4 separate regions of the Mus musculus genome follow, and all the other regions are reported to be linked to region 1. Evidence: microRNA targets listed by miRTarBase, many of them from high-throughput screens and not tested one by one. Region 1 holds a microRNA gene; each other region holds the end of a gene's coding sequence. Distances are from middle to middle.
Evidence for each region. The annotated mature microRNA mmu-miR-34b-5p reads AGGCAGUGUAAUUAGCUGAUUGU and lies in region 1 at 1,651-1,673, shown strand. An mRNA with a match to its seed (bases 2 to 7 or 8) in the 3' UTR can be bound and repressed. Matches are read on the target gene's strand: a 7mer-m8 pairs with bases 2 to 8, a 7mer-A1 pairs with bases 2 to 7 and ends in A, and an 8mer does both.

Region 1 (3,094 bases):
TCTTGGGTTTTAATGGTTTCCACTTGGAATTTGTGTTGAATGTTCCTGATGATTGGCATATATTCATGTAATTAGTGGCATCTACAAGACCATTTGCTGGGCTTACAGGTATCAGTGTATAGCTAAGAAATGTCCCTTTGTAGACTGCAAGACTGTTGGATCAATACAAATGGGTGTCATACAGCATACAGGAAGACCACAGTCTGGGACGGCTACTTCCTACTGAATTCCACAAAGTTTGCAATCAGAGAATACTGTATATCCTCTCTGGGCTCAATTAATTAAAGGAAAGGAGAGGAAAGACTAAAGGAAAGAAATATTAGTGAAGATGGCGCAGAAATGCTGTCCCCTCAGCGCCTCCTATTCCCAATATACACAAACACGCACCCCGTTATCAGATATAAAATAGCAAAAACAAGGGGAATGTAACTGACAGAAGATATGGCTTCTCGGGCTTCTACAGACCTCATCCTTAATGTCCAAATCTACCCTTGCTTCAAGGATCTACCTGAACTCTCACCTCCTCCATGATGGTGTCTGTCAGCTCTTGTTGGCACACCTCCCACCCCCACCCATACCTGTTTTTTTCTATTAGGAAAATCTATCAGTTTAGCAACTTTATACTGTCTGGAGTAATAAATAATGTGTTCACATTTTGTTACCACCTAGACTGTCTGATGGGTAGTAAGACAAACGCCTGTTAGGTGCTGGATTTGTAACATTTAAATAAAACAGGAGCCCAAAGTGAGACTAGATATCCTCAAGGCTCACGGGGAGATCATCAAAACTGTGTCTTTGATCTTATAAGGGCCACAACTTTGACCTACCAACAAGGGTGTTGGTTCAATGTTTGACCAGAAGAGTGGCCCACACTTCACTGTATGGCCCTGTAAGAGGTAGTCCTAAGAAAGAACTTGGGTACAGGCAAGGGCAATCCTGCAGGTATGAGTGCCCAGGCCTGCTCAGGCAGGAAGGCTCCAGATGAGACGCCTGGGAAGCGGTTTCTGAGAATGGGCATATGAACAGTGAGGAGGCCTGGGGCTTCTTGGGCAATATATTGGGAAGGAGAGATGGATGTAGGTCTCTGCGCTTCTTTCTTCGATGTAGCAGTAACTACACTGTGAAGATAAACTTCTCAAGAATCTGTCTCTCCATCTCCCCGGCCCCTTCCCAGGAGGCTCTGCAGGAGCCCTCCCATTGCCCCTTCTGGTAGCTTCTGCCACCCCTCCCCCACTCGCCCCGCCCCCTCGGCCTCGGGGTTCCAAGGGCGGTTGGTCGCTGAGCCACGGTCACTCGGCCAGTAGGAGCTGCGGGGCGCGCGGGCTGGACAGAACCGGCTCTAGACTTGGGTCTGGAAGCCGTGAAGAAGTTGTTGGAGGCGGGTCAGACCCGGCTTGCGGGAAGAAGGACTCGGGCCGGATGCCCTGGGGTCCGGGCTGAGTCGGGGGTCTCGGGGGGGACGGCGGGGACAGGGGGCCTCAGCGCCTGGGGGTTCACCTGGGGTCGCGCGCGGCCCTGCTGGGTGTGGAGGGGCCTCGGGAGCCTGAGGCACCTCTCGCTCCGCCGCCCTCGCCTGTCGACCGTGGCGAAAGGGGGCGAGGGGCCCGACCCTCGGGAGCTGCAGTGGCGGGCGCCCGGTGCTCGGTTTGTAGGCAGTGTAATTAGCTGATTGTAGTGCGGTGCTGACAATCACTAACTCCACTGCCATCAAAACAAGGCACAGCATCACCCGCCGCCCGCGGGAGGAGAAGCCAGCGCTGCAGCCCCACTGACTCCGCAGAAAGCCGAGGCCGGAGCCAGGATGCGTCAGCAAAGGGCCGGGAGCACGAGGTCTAAGTGCAAGTAACCCTCGGAGACCGGCGGCCTCCTTTAGGGACCGTTCGGCTACCTGTGTGTAAGAGCCAGAGCAAAAACGGTTCAGTGATGTGTAAAGAGAATCGGTATACACCGGCCTTAACATAAAAAAAAAAAAAAAAAAAAAGGCCAGGAAGAGCCCCCCCCCCCCCCCCCCCAGAACAGTTCCTGCTGCTGCTGTGATTCACTGCCTGATTTCCACTTCTGAGAAAGCTATCACCAAGGCAGCGACTAGAGTCAACCACAGCTTGGCTGACGATTTGCTCTGGTCACACCAAAGTCTGAGAGCACCAGCTAAAGACTGCATGCTTTTTTCTGAGTCTAGTTACTAGGCAGTGTAGTTAGCTGATTGCTAATAGTACCAATCACTAACCACACAGCCAGGTAAAAAGACTGAAATTCCTCCGACTGAGCCTCCTGTGAATCGTCATTTTGGTGAGGACAGAGCCATAGGGAAATATTCTTACCATACTATTAGTGGTTTGGGGGGGGGGGGGGAACCGCTAGCCCTTAGCTGCTAAGTATACAATGTATCAATTTGTGTGGGGTACATTTTTTGTGATTTTTAGATATATTGGAAAAATAGAAATTATCCCTTAGCTGATTTGGTCATTATATTGACTTGTGATTATAAATCTTTGGACTTTGCCTGACATATTAATAACACTCTAAAAAATAAAGCGCCACGAAAATCTCAGCAATCGTGTTCATTTCCTTTCCAAAAACTGGCTTTAGGATCTCCATTTCAGCTCCTGTCAACCCCGTAAAGTCATTAAATGGTTAGTTGCTATACAGACAAAATCTCCAGGGAAACGTCTCACACATGATTGTGACCTGGAAGGGAACGTTAAATGTTTTCATAATTTTCCATGGGGCAAGGGAACTCAGCCCACTTAACCAGGTATATTTTTTAAGGTATTAACAGTTGCGTTCTAGGCAACTTTTCGTGGGAATAATTAGTGAACACGATTTAAAACCAGCTGGTTTCCTAATATCTGTAATAAAAGATTTGAGAGGTTTTAAATCACACAAGCTGTATCCACCGGTACTTCTCGGCCCAGTTCTAGATTAGCGCTTTATGCAGATGTATCAATGCAAACCTGAGAATTTCCCCAGAGGTAAGAGTGCGAAGCCTTGGCAATCTTGTCCAAAAGAGGAAGGCGCTCTTTAAAGCTCACATTATTGGGCTATCTGGGGGAGGAGGAGACGCTGGCTGAGGATCTAAGAGACAGTCCAGGAC
Region 2 (3,094 bases), not on the chromosome of region 1:
GAACTAAGGGTTGAGGCTTACTAGTGATGTATTTGTGTGTCAATTGTACTGGCTAGTTTTGTGTCAACTTGACACAGCTGGAGTTATCACAGAGAAAGGAGCTTCAGTTGAGGAAATGCCTCCATGAGATCCAACTGTAAGGCATTTTCTCAATTAGTGATCAAGGGGGAAAGGCCCCTTGTGGGTGGGACCATCTCTAGGCTGGTAGTCTTGGGTTCTATAAGAGAGCAGGCTGAGCAAGCCAGAACAAGCAAGCCAGTAAAGAACATTCCTCCATGGCCTCTGCATCAGCTCCTGCTTCCTGACCTGCTTGAGTTCCAGTCTTGACTTCCTTAGTGATGAACAGCAGTATGGAAATGTAAGCTGAATAAACCCTTTCCTCCCCAACTTGCTTCTTGGTCATGATGTTTGTGCAGGAATAGAAACCCTGACTAAGACAGACACATATCTGAGTCCATCAGGTAAGGCTTACAGGTCAGCTCTGAATGAGACGGCTGAGCCCCCACTGTTACAACAACAGAGCTGACCTTGACCCCATCCCCTCTCTGGGGGATAGCAGACAGCCTGAGACCTCACGATGAAGCCCATTGCTTGAGGAATGGCTTCTGAAACTTAATCTTGTCAAGCCTCTAAACACACCTAGATTGAGTTAATTGAAGAGGCTGGAGTCTTGAACCAAACAAAGAGAAGAAAAGTAATTGAGACCAAAATCCATCATTTTATTTTAGGGGACAAACACACGTCCATGTGTGCCCTCACAGAAGCCAGAGGAGGACATCTGGTCTCTTCCTCTGTTGCTGACCTCATTACGTCCTCTTCCACTGACCTGAAGCTCACCATTTTGGCTAGGCTAGCCAAGGGAACTCCCAGAACTCATTTGTCTTCACTGTCCAATGCCAGAGTTATAGACATGTGTGGCCATGCCCAACTTTTATGTGGGTGCTAAGGTCTTGAACTTGGGTCCTCATGCTTGCCTAGCAAGCCACTCTTACCCATTAAGGGATTTCCTCAGCCCCTGTTCTCTGCCTCTTGACTGGAATGCAATGTGAAGAGATGGTTGAGGCCCTGCCCTCCCCCACCTCCTCCTCCCTCCTCCTCCCCCCTCCACCCGAGCCTTCCCCACTGCAATGCCTAATCCCAGTTGTCAACCTGATGCACCTGGAAAAACAGAACTTCAACTGAAGACTCCCCTCCATCACTACACTGGCCTGTGCTCCTGTCTTCAAGGAACTGGTTTTACTTAATGGTTGATGGGGGAGGGTCCAGCCCACTGTGGGCAGAACCATTCCTAGGCTGGTGGACCTGAGCTATGGAAGAAAGATGCTGAACATGAGTCTGGAAGTGAACCAATTAACAGTGTTCCTCCTTGGCTTCTGCCTCCGAGTCCTGCTCTGAGTTCCTGCCTTGGCTTCACTCATGATGGACTGCAACATGTAAGATGAAATAAACACTTTTCTGTCCACATGGCTGTTGATCCTGGTGTTTATCATCGCAACAGAAGCCAAACGAGAACACTCACTATAGTGGACTGTACCCTTGAGCTGTATCCCAGAATAACCCTGCCCTCCCTTAAGGTACTCTTGTTAAGTACTGTGTTGCAGGAACAACTTCTGCGGGAGGACTCTTGAGTGATGCCCTGGTCCATATATCTACTGTTTGGTGAATAAAAAAGCCAAAACAAGCCTAGGATCTAGGCCTCTGACCCACACTGGCCCAAGAGGCCGGGCAGGCATCCATCACACACACAGAGCCACAGGGTGGCATTCAGAGAGCACATTTATTTACAAAGCGCTTTACAAACATTACCTTACACCTCCCCACAGCCCCCTGTGAGGTAGGTCAGTAGTCATATCTACAGTTTACAGATGGGGAAATTGAGGCACGAAATGGGGGTGTGGCCTACCCCATTATAAAGAGAACTTCCCACCCTCCCATCAAAAAAATAACAAAATAACAACAACAAAAAAAGCACTGGTCCTCCATTCCAAAGTATCCCTTCTTCCTCTGTACTCTAGGAGCTGACACCAGCCCTGTTCTAGCCTGCCCCGATCCAGTGGCAGCCTCACCAAGAGCCACAGGGACCTCAACCCCAGGGGCTGTGATTCAGCCTTGTGGATTGTCACAGGCCCAAGCTGAGCAGGACTGAGCCATGGAGACCCAAAGGCCAGGGAAGAGGGAGCTGAAGTATATCATTCTGCATATACTGGGCCAGGCAGGGATGGAGCCCAGGAGGGAGGCACGGGTCCTGTTGCAGGAAAAGCTCAGAAGCAGGAGGAAAGCGAGCAAAGCACCCCAGGTCTGTAGGGGCAGTGGGATGGAGAATGGAGCTGCAGGATGCTCAGCGGGTCCCACCGGCGAGACGGGGAAGAGTCCCAGCTTCAGGACTCTCGGGGACTCAGCCCCTGCCAAGTCCCAGTGAGCCTCCACCACGTGCAGAAAGGACCATACTGGGTGCAAACCATGGGTGCTCTCTGCAGACACTCATTCATTTCTGGCCAAGGACTGTGATGGAGCAGAGGGGCCTGGCCTGGGCTCTCCAGCACTAGCTATTTTGGTCCAGGCGAGCTTCTCTGCACAGGTCTGCAGGGCCCTCTAGAGGTGGGGCTGATACAGTCTTGCAAAGCTTCTCCTTGGCCTGCAGCCTTCCCGTGGGGGTCACCAAGATGGTGCAGTGTCCGTCCGTTCCAGTGTTGTCCCTGTGGAATTATGGCTGAGCAAAGTTGGGGCCACAGGCCCTCCTCATCTGGGATGATGGGCCATGCCCTGGGTGTTCACTGGGTGCCCCAGGTCAGGCGCCTGCTATCTCAACTCCAGAGCCTCCAGGTACTCCAGGGCCACGTCGTAGCAGAAATGATACTGATCCTGAGGAAAGAGAGCACCTTGAGCTGGGGCTCCCCTCCAGAAAAAGGGGAATAAGAAAGGCATCCTAACAACCCAGGACTAGAAGGGAGGCCCAAAGTTGGGGGCCAGACAAGAGTATGTAGGTTCTGGGAAACCCTATGGGGGGTTGTTTGGGGAGTCTGAAGTGGCCGTGCCCGGGACACGGCTCCTCACCATGGTCTCCACCATATTGGGCTTGTAGTTCCGAAGTGTT
Region 3 (3,094 bases), not on the chromosome of region 1:
ACGTACTTTCTAGAAGGCAGGACTGATGGAAACAGTTCCCACGGCAGGACCTTTCGCTTGGAACGAAGGATGTGTCCTTATGGGAGAGGCGGAGGCCAGGCCAGACGGCCCCCACTGTGTCCCGCGGCTGGACCCCCAGTCAGACCAGGGCTCCCTCCAGCCCCCACTAGCCAGTACCTGTCATCCACAGCAGCAGGGAAGGAAGCCTAGTGGAGCCCATGGGCCACTGGAGATGCATGCAAGGCAAGAATGCTCCAGGGTGTCACAAGCCACCATGGCTCTAGCCAGGACCAGACAGAGGAGCCAAGTGGCTGGGCTGGAGGAGAAGCATTGTCTGAGTGTGGCCTGAGGCCAATGGGAAATGTGCCCAAGCCACCCCTTGGGGCACACTGAGCTCTGTCTCTTCCTAATGACCTGGTTATGCCTGGCTAGTGTTGCCATAGGTGGCGGGACCTTGGGAGTATCTTCCATGGTCACAGCAAAAGCTATGGAGGTCAAGCTGGCAGAGGAGCCCACCATGACTGAGCCCCAAGTCAACTGGCTTATGGGTGGCTCCAGCCCTGGTAAGCCCTGGCTTATGGGTGGCTCTAGCCCTGGTAGGTCCTGGCTTATGGGTGGCTCCAGCCCTGGTAAGCCCTGGCTTATGGATGGCTCTAGCCCTGGTAGGTCCTGGCTTATGGGTAACTCCAAGCCTGGGTAGCAGTTTCAAGTATGAGTGCCAGACTGGGAAGTTGGCCCCGCTGGGCAGGGCCATGACAGTTGAGCTGTTCATACCATGGGCACAGCAAAGAGCTGGTCAGGTCTTGGTCAGGGCAGTATGGGAAGAATTGAAAAGACACCTCTTACTGCATGAAGAGCGGGGTTGCTGGCTTTCCCCAAGAGTAGGCTCTTGCTAACAGCCAGAGGCAGGTCTTCTGGAATTCTCGGGAGGCCCTACAGCCCCACTTCTGATCTCCTGGCCCGTACATTCTCTTCCAACCCCTCCTGGCTGCTGGCTTCTGACTGCTGCGACAGTGGGCCCTCCTCTTCCTGTGCCATGGCTGCACATTCAGAGAGGAGGGGTGTGTGCTGTCTTCTCTGTGGTGTCTTGGACGCTGTAAGTCTAACAAGAATCAAGCCTTCGTTTATGCTAAGAGCGATTGACCCACTATACCCACGAGTGCTCTCCTTGCTGGAAGACATCCTCTCCTTGGCCTAACCAGCTCTCCTCTTGGTGGTTTCAGAGTCGGCACAGTGTGCATTCCTGAGTCTAGGTGTGGTGTCCCTGCTCCAGGGTGATGGGAAAGAGTGGCCCTGTTGACTGACACCTGGGACCTCCCACCTGTGTGTCCCAGTAACTGCAACTGTGAGGAAATCCCGTTAGGGTACAGGATTCTGGAGGAGTTGGTAGGAAGCAACTGGCTGGAAATAGCGGGATGAAGCCTGGCTTTTGAAGATACTCAGTTTCAATACAGGAAGGGAGGCAGCTTGAAGCAGGGCAGGTGGGCATAAGCCCTGCCTGATCTTGTCTGTGGAGGCCCATTTCCTCACGGCTCCCCAAGAGCTTGCCCCCTTCCAAGGGTCCTATCTTCTTAGAATAGGGCAGAGCAAAGCCTAGTTTTCCCCGGCAGGGTGCATATGTGGTGTTCTGGATTCAGCTCTGGTTCAAGTGTGTGGCTTTGTTGGTGCCTGGGTAATTTTCCAGGTCAGCCAGCGCCCGTTCCTGGGACACTCAGCTGAGTCTAGACTCAGGTTACCTGTGGGTAGGAAGAAAACTTTCAGCAAGGGAGAGCTGGAGGCTGCATGCCAAGTCTCCAAGTCTTTGAGGCTGCACCTCAGGTGCCCTAGGGCCGGGTGGGGCAGCTGTGAAGATTGCACATTCTCTGTGGCCAGGGATGGAGCTTGTGGGTGGTGGTAAGGGTATCATCTAGCACCTTCTGCAGAGGAACTCTGACCCATGCCCACCCTGCTTTGTTGCCTTTCTGATGATATCAGGTAGCACGGCCTGGGCATTGTCGGCTGCCTTTCTGTCAGCCCACTGTGGCTAGAACCCAGAGCCAGGGCCAGACTGACTTCAGCACTCCACTGCAGCCTTCAGGGTTGGAGAGCAGGTAGCTTCATCGTCCTCCGGTGGTCATGTCTGGTTCCTGAGGCGTGGTATTTTGTTGTAACAGTGTTGGGGGAGAATGCTGGCTCCCAGAGAGTTGAGGGCAGCAGGACAGGCTTTTGGTTTCTCCCATGGCCCTGAAGACCATCTTAAGATTGCACTTATAAGAAAGATTCAGGTTGTTGGGGCGCTCTGAGAAGGGGCAGATTCCTCTGAGCCAGAACCTAGGTAGGCATGCGAGCACTCTTTCTTTGTGGCTCCTGCCTCCTGCCCGTCCCCAGGTGTTCCTATCCTTGGGACAAATGGCTTTTCCTCATGGGGCTCTTTTGCACTAGGAATTTCTCACCTCGTCTGTCTGTCTTGCAGTCAGCTCAGCCAGGAGCACCCAGAGCAAGTGAGTATATGGTGACTTTGGCTGAGGGCTGTGGCACTGTCCCTGGCCTTCCAGGCCACTGAGGAGGGTAGAGAACCTCTCACACAGCCTGGAGTTCCTCAGAGTGGCTTCTAGGCACCCAGAACTAGTGCCTCTCTGGCTGATCAGATGAGGGACAGAAGAGTGGTTCTCAAAGATGCCCACATGACAGCCCCAGGTCCTGTGTGTCCTTTGCCACAGTGGAGGACCTTGACAAGGGGACTTAGGGTAGGTAGGCCTGAAGGATTGAGAAAGGATTGAGAAAGTCTACACCAATGGGTTTAGTGTGGACACAGGGCCCCTCAGAAGTGGACAGAAAGATGCCCAGGACTGAGTCTCTGTTGCTGACCTGAAGATGAGGACATGAAATACATTGAAGAGACTTAGGAGGACAGCACAGCTCCAGCCAGCAAAGAAGCCAGGATGTCACGCACGCCCATAACCACAAGGAGCTGAAACTGGCCAAAGCCTGAGTATACAGCAGGCAGACCATCAGAGCCATGAGGGAGGAGGCCAGCCAGTGGCCCCTGGATCTGACCTATATGACGCTGAGCAGAGCCAGCCTAGGTCGATAACACTGCAATCACGCATGCGTG
Region 4 (3,094 bases), 24 Mb from region 1:
CACAGCGGTCTGTATGCCATACAGGCACAACAGACGTAAAGAATCTCAAGAGCATAGTTTTGCCTTTACTATCATCGATTTCACTGTAAGTACAAGCCACTTCATGTTCAAGTTGAGGGAGGGGTCTCAGGTAGCAGGCTGGCTTCAGACTTTCTGTGTAGCCAACACTGATCTTGCGTCCACTCCAAGTGCTAGGATCACTAGGGCATGCTACCACACCTTAATTTTTAGCAGGGCAATTTTGAGCAAGAATTTAAAGAATTCTTGAAAACTGAACAAACCAGCAAACCTATACAAACTGGCTTCAATACCACACCCAAGTGGGTGAGAAGGAAGGAAAGATCAGATTAAGGGATAAAACAAAACAAATACATTTTTAGATTGACAGGGAGATAAAGTATTAAGTTAAAGCACTTGGGGGTGACTCAAAAAATGTCAGAATACCCTATTTATTATGTCCTGAAGAGTATAAAAATGAGCCAAGAAAATGAGGTGTGTCTGAGAATTTTTGCTTTAGCTGTGGTTATTTATAGCACAGTAAGTGTTCAGTTTCTCCCTCTAAGTGTCCAGTTTTTTTTCCCAAGGTTCCTGACTCCAAGTTCTTTCTTGTCTGATAGTTTCCCATCACCTTTATAGGACTTAGAGCAGTGGTTCTCAACCTTCTTACTGCTTTTAATACAGTTCCTCATGTTGTGGTGACCCCCAACCATACATTTATCTCATTGCTACTTCATGACTGTAATTTTACTACTGTTTTGAGTTGTAATGTAAATATCTGTGTTTTCCAATAATCTTAAGTGACCTCCATGAAAGAGTTATTCAACCTCCAAAGGGATTGTGACCCACAGGTTGAGAACCACTGACTTAGCGACATAGAGAGAAGGGAAACAAGAAGGATGCTTTGTCATGAAAGGAGAGGAAAAGGAAGGACAAGAGATGCTAGACAGGATCTTCATTGTCAACTTGATGGGATTTGGAATCACCTACGGTGTTACCAGAGAAGTTTAACCAAGAAGAGAGAACTCACCCTGAATGTGGGGAGCACCATCCCATAGGCTGGAACTCCAGACTAAATAAAAAGGGGGGAAAGGAAAGTGGGCGGAGCCCCAGCATTCATCTCTCTTTGCTTCCTGTCTGTGACAGTGATGTGACAACTGTCTCATCCTCCTGCTGCTATCCTTCTCTGCCACAGTTGGTGGCAACCTAAAACTGTGAGCCAAGATGAATCCCCCTTTTCCTTATATTCCTTTTGTCAGGTATTTAGTCACAGCAGTGAGAAGGGCAGCTAACACAGGTACCTGACAGTGGCTGATGTCTATGACAGGAGAGAAAAGTGATTATTTTGGGCCAAAACATTCCATCACTTGGTACCTTAAATTTGCATTATGCTGTCCAGTTGTTGTACTAGGAAATCAGTCACTTCATGGTCACTTCAGTCATGTCTTCACAGGCTCTGTCTTCGAGGTGACAAACATCTTAGCAACTGACAATTCCTTTTAACCTAATGTTTGCAAATAGCTGGATTTACTGTGATATATGACAAAAATCAATGCTTGATTTTAAGCCAAAAGGCAAAGAAGCAATTGCATGTGACAAAAAAACAAAACAAAAAACAAAAAACAAAAAAACCAAAAAACCCCCAAAAAACCTATATAATTAACCACAATGCCCACAATTTAGCTGGTGATCTGGTTATGCTAAAGATGAATCAACAATTGCTTTTAAAATTTGTCAAATTCATTATGTATCAGAAACTTTGATTAAGGTACCATAACTTTTAAATCTATTTTTAATCATGTGTATGTATATAGGGGGTATGTATACCTATGTGTGGATGCCCTCAGAGGCTGGAGGCATCAGAGTCCCCCGAGGATGGAGCTATACAAGTTAGCTGCTTGACACAGGTGCTGAAGCTGAACTCTGGTCTTCTGGGAAAGCAGCAAGCACTCTTAACTGCTGAGCCAGCTCTCCAGCTCCCAAGACGCTGTTATTGTTATTTTATGTGGGAATGTACTATTTTGAAATTTTCTTTTGGTTAAACTTTAAAAAATTTCCCATCATACCTGGAAAGTCTTTCAACGGCTTTGTAAATAATTACCTATTAGAGAATCATTTTAAATATAATTTGGGTTGGAGATGTAGCTCAGGAGTAGAGTGCTTGCCTAGCACACAGGGTTCTGGATACAATTCCCAGGACCACATACCTTAACAAATATGTTTCATTCATGTTTAACAGTAAGTAAAGGTAAGTGTGTGACTTGTTAATATACTCACGGGGCACTAAACAGTCCCTTTGCCAGTGCTACGTTAAAGTGCTTTCTAAGGAAGATCCCACTGACCATCTATCTATCAGTTGGGCATGTGCATGTAGAGACACTATTTTTTTTTTTTTCTGAAATTAACGGAGAATTTGTGAAAGCTTGGCAATACTAACTTCTCATGTGGTCAGTAGCACACACTCCCCATGTTCCTGGCCTAGCTCAAAGCAATGCATGTAAACAGAGATAGGCCTCCACTTTGTCATCAGCTACAAACACATGCTACATGCTAAGTCCCTTCCATGACTAAAAACGGTTCACGAAAGAAAGCAAGACAAACTACAATATGAAAGTGGTTAAGATCATCTCCAGCGTTGTCACTGTCTAAGATCTGTATCACCCTACTTGTGCAAGCCACCAGGTGTGTCCAGGAGCGAGGCAAACTGCTACACATATTTCAGACAAATAATTAGCGCTAAAAAGGAGTAACAGTTAAAGTTATGATGGATATGGTTAACGGAAATGAACAGCCTTGGATCAAATGGTCCGGTGGAGAAGAGGATTTTGGGTATGTTTTTTTGGATGGCCGCACGGTGAGACTTCACCCCTTTGAGTGGGGCTTTACCTCCTGTCTCCTTCAACTCTCTTCTTTCGAACTAGGTAGGAGAGAGAGAAAGAATTAAAAAAGATGAACCAAAGGATATCCTTTAAAATCACTCTAGAGCAGAGTTCTCAGCCTTCCTAACGCTGCGACCCTTTAATATAGTTCCTCCCGCTGTGCTGACCCCCAGCCATACAACTATTTTATTGCTACTTCATAACTGTAACTTGGCTAC

Region 2: the mRNA of Ptpru is a reported target of mmu-miR-34b-5p. Seed matches in the 3' UTR shown: 7mer-m8 at 2,306-2,312.
Region 3: the mRNA of Adcy1 is a reported target of mmu-miR-34b-5p. The part of its 3' UTR that is shown has no 7-base or 8-base seed match.
Region 4: the mRNA of Tmod2 is a reported target of mmu-miR-34b-5p. The part of its 3' UTR that is shown has no 7-base or 8-base seed match.

Annotation. Positions count from the first base shown.
Region 1 is chr9:51,102,189-51,105,282 of GRCm38, reverse strand. Mir34b (microRNA 34b) reads left to right here and starts at 1,638; the gene lies at 1,638-1,721. It overlaps Mir34c (microRNA 34c), which reads left to right and starts at 2,173; the gene lies at 2,173-2,249. It also overlaps a transcript of Hoatz not described here and a transcript of Btg4 not described here.
Region 2 is chr4:131,766,699-131,769,792 of GRCm38, forward strand. It overlaps Ptpru (protein tyrosine phosphatase, receptor type, U), which reads right to left. Exons shown (of 31, transcript NM_001083119.2): 30 at 3,055-3,094; 31 at 1,759-2,862. The coding sequence ends at 2,800. Among named protein-coding and RNA genes, the nearest start is that of Gm52680, 31 kb to the right of the region's middle.
Region 3 is chr11:7,169,506-7,172,599 of GRCm38, forward strand. It overlaps Adcy1 (adenylate cyclase 1), which reads left to right. Exons shown (of 20, transcript NM_009622.2): 20 at 1-3,094. The coding sequence ends at 210. Among named protein-coding and RNA genes, the nearest start is that of Ccdc201, 18 kb to the right of the region's middle.
Region 4 is chr9:75,571,210-75,574,303 of GRCm38, forward strand. Tmod2 (tropomodulin 2) reads right to left here. Exons shown (of 10, transcript NM_016711.3): 10 at 1-2,914. The coding sequence ends at 2,880. Among named protein-coding and RNA genes, the nearest start is that of Tmod3, 13 kb to the left of the region's middle.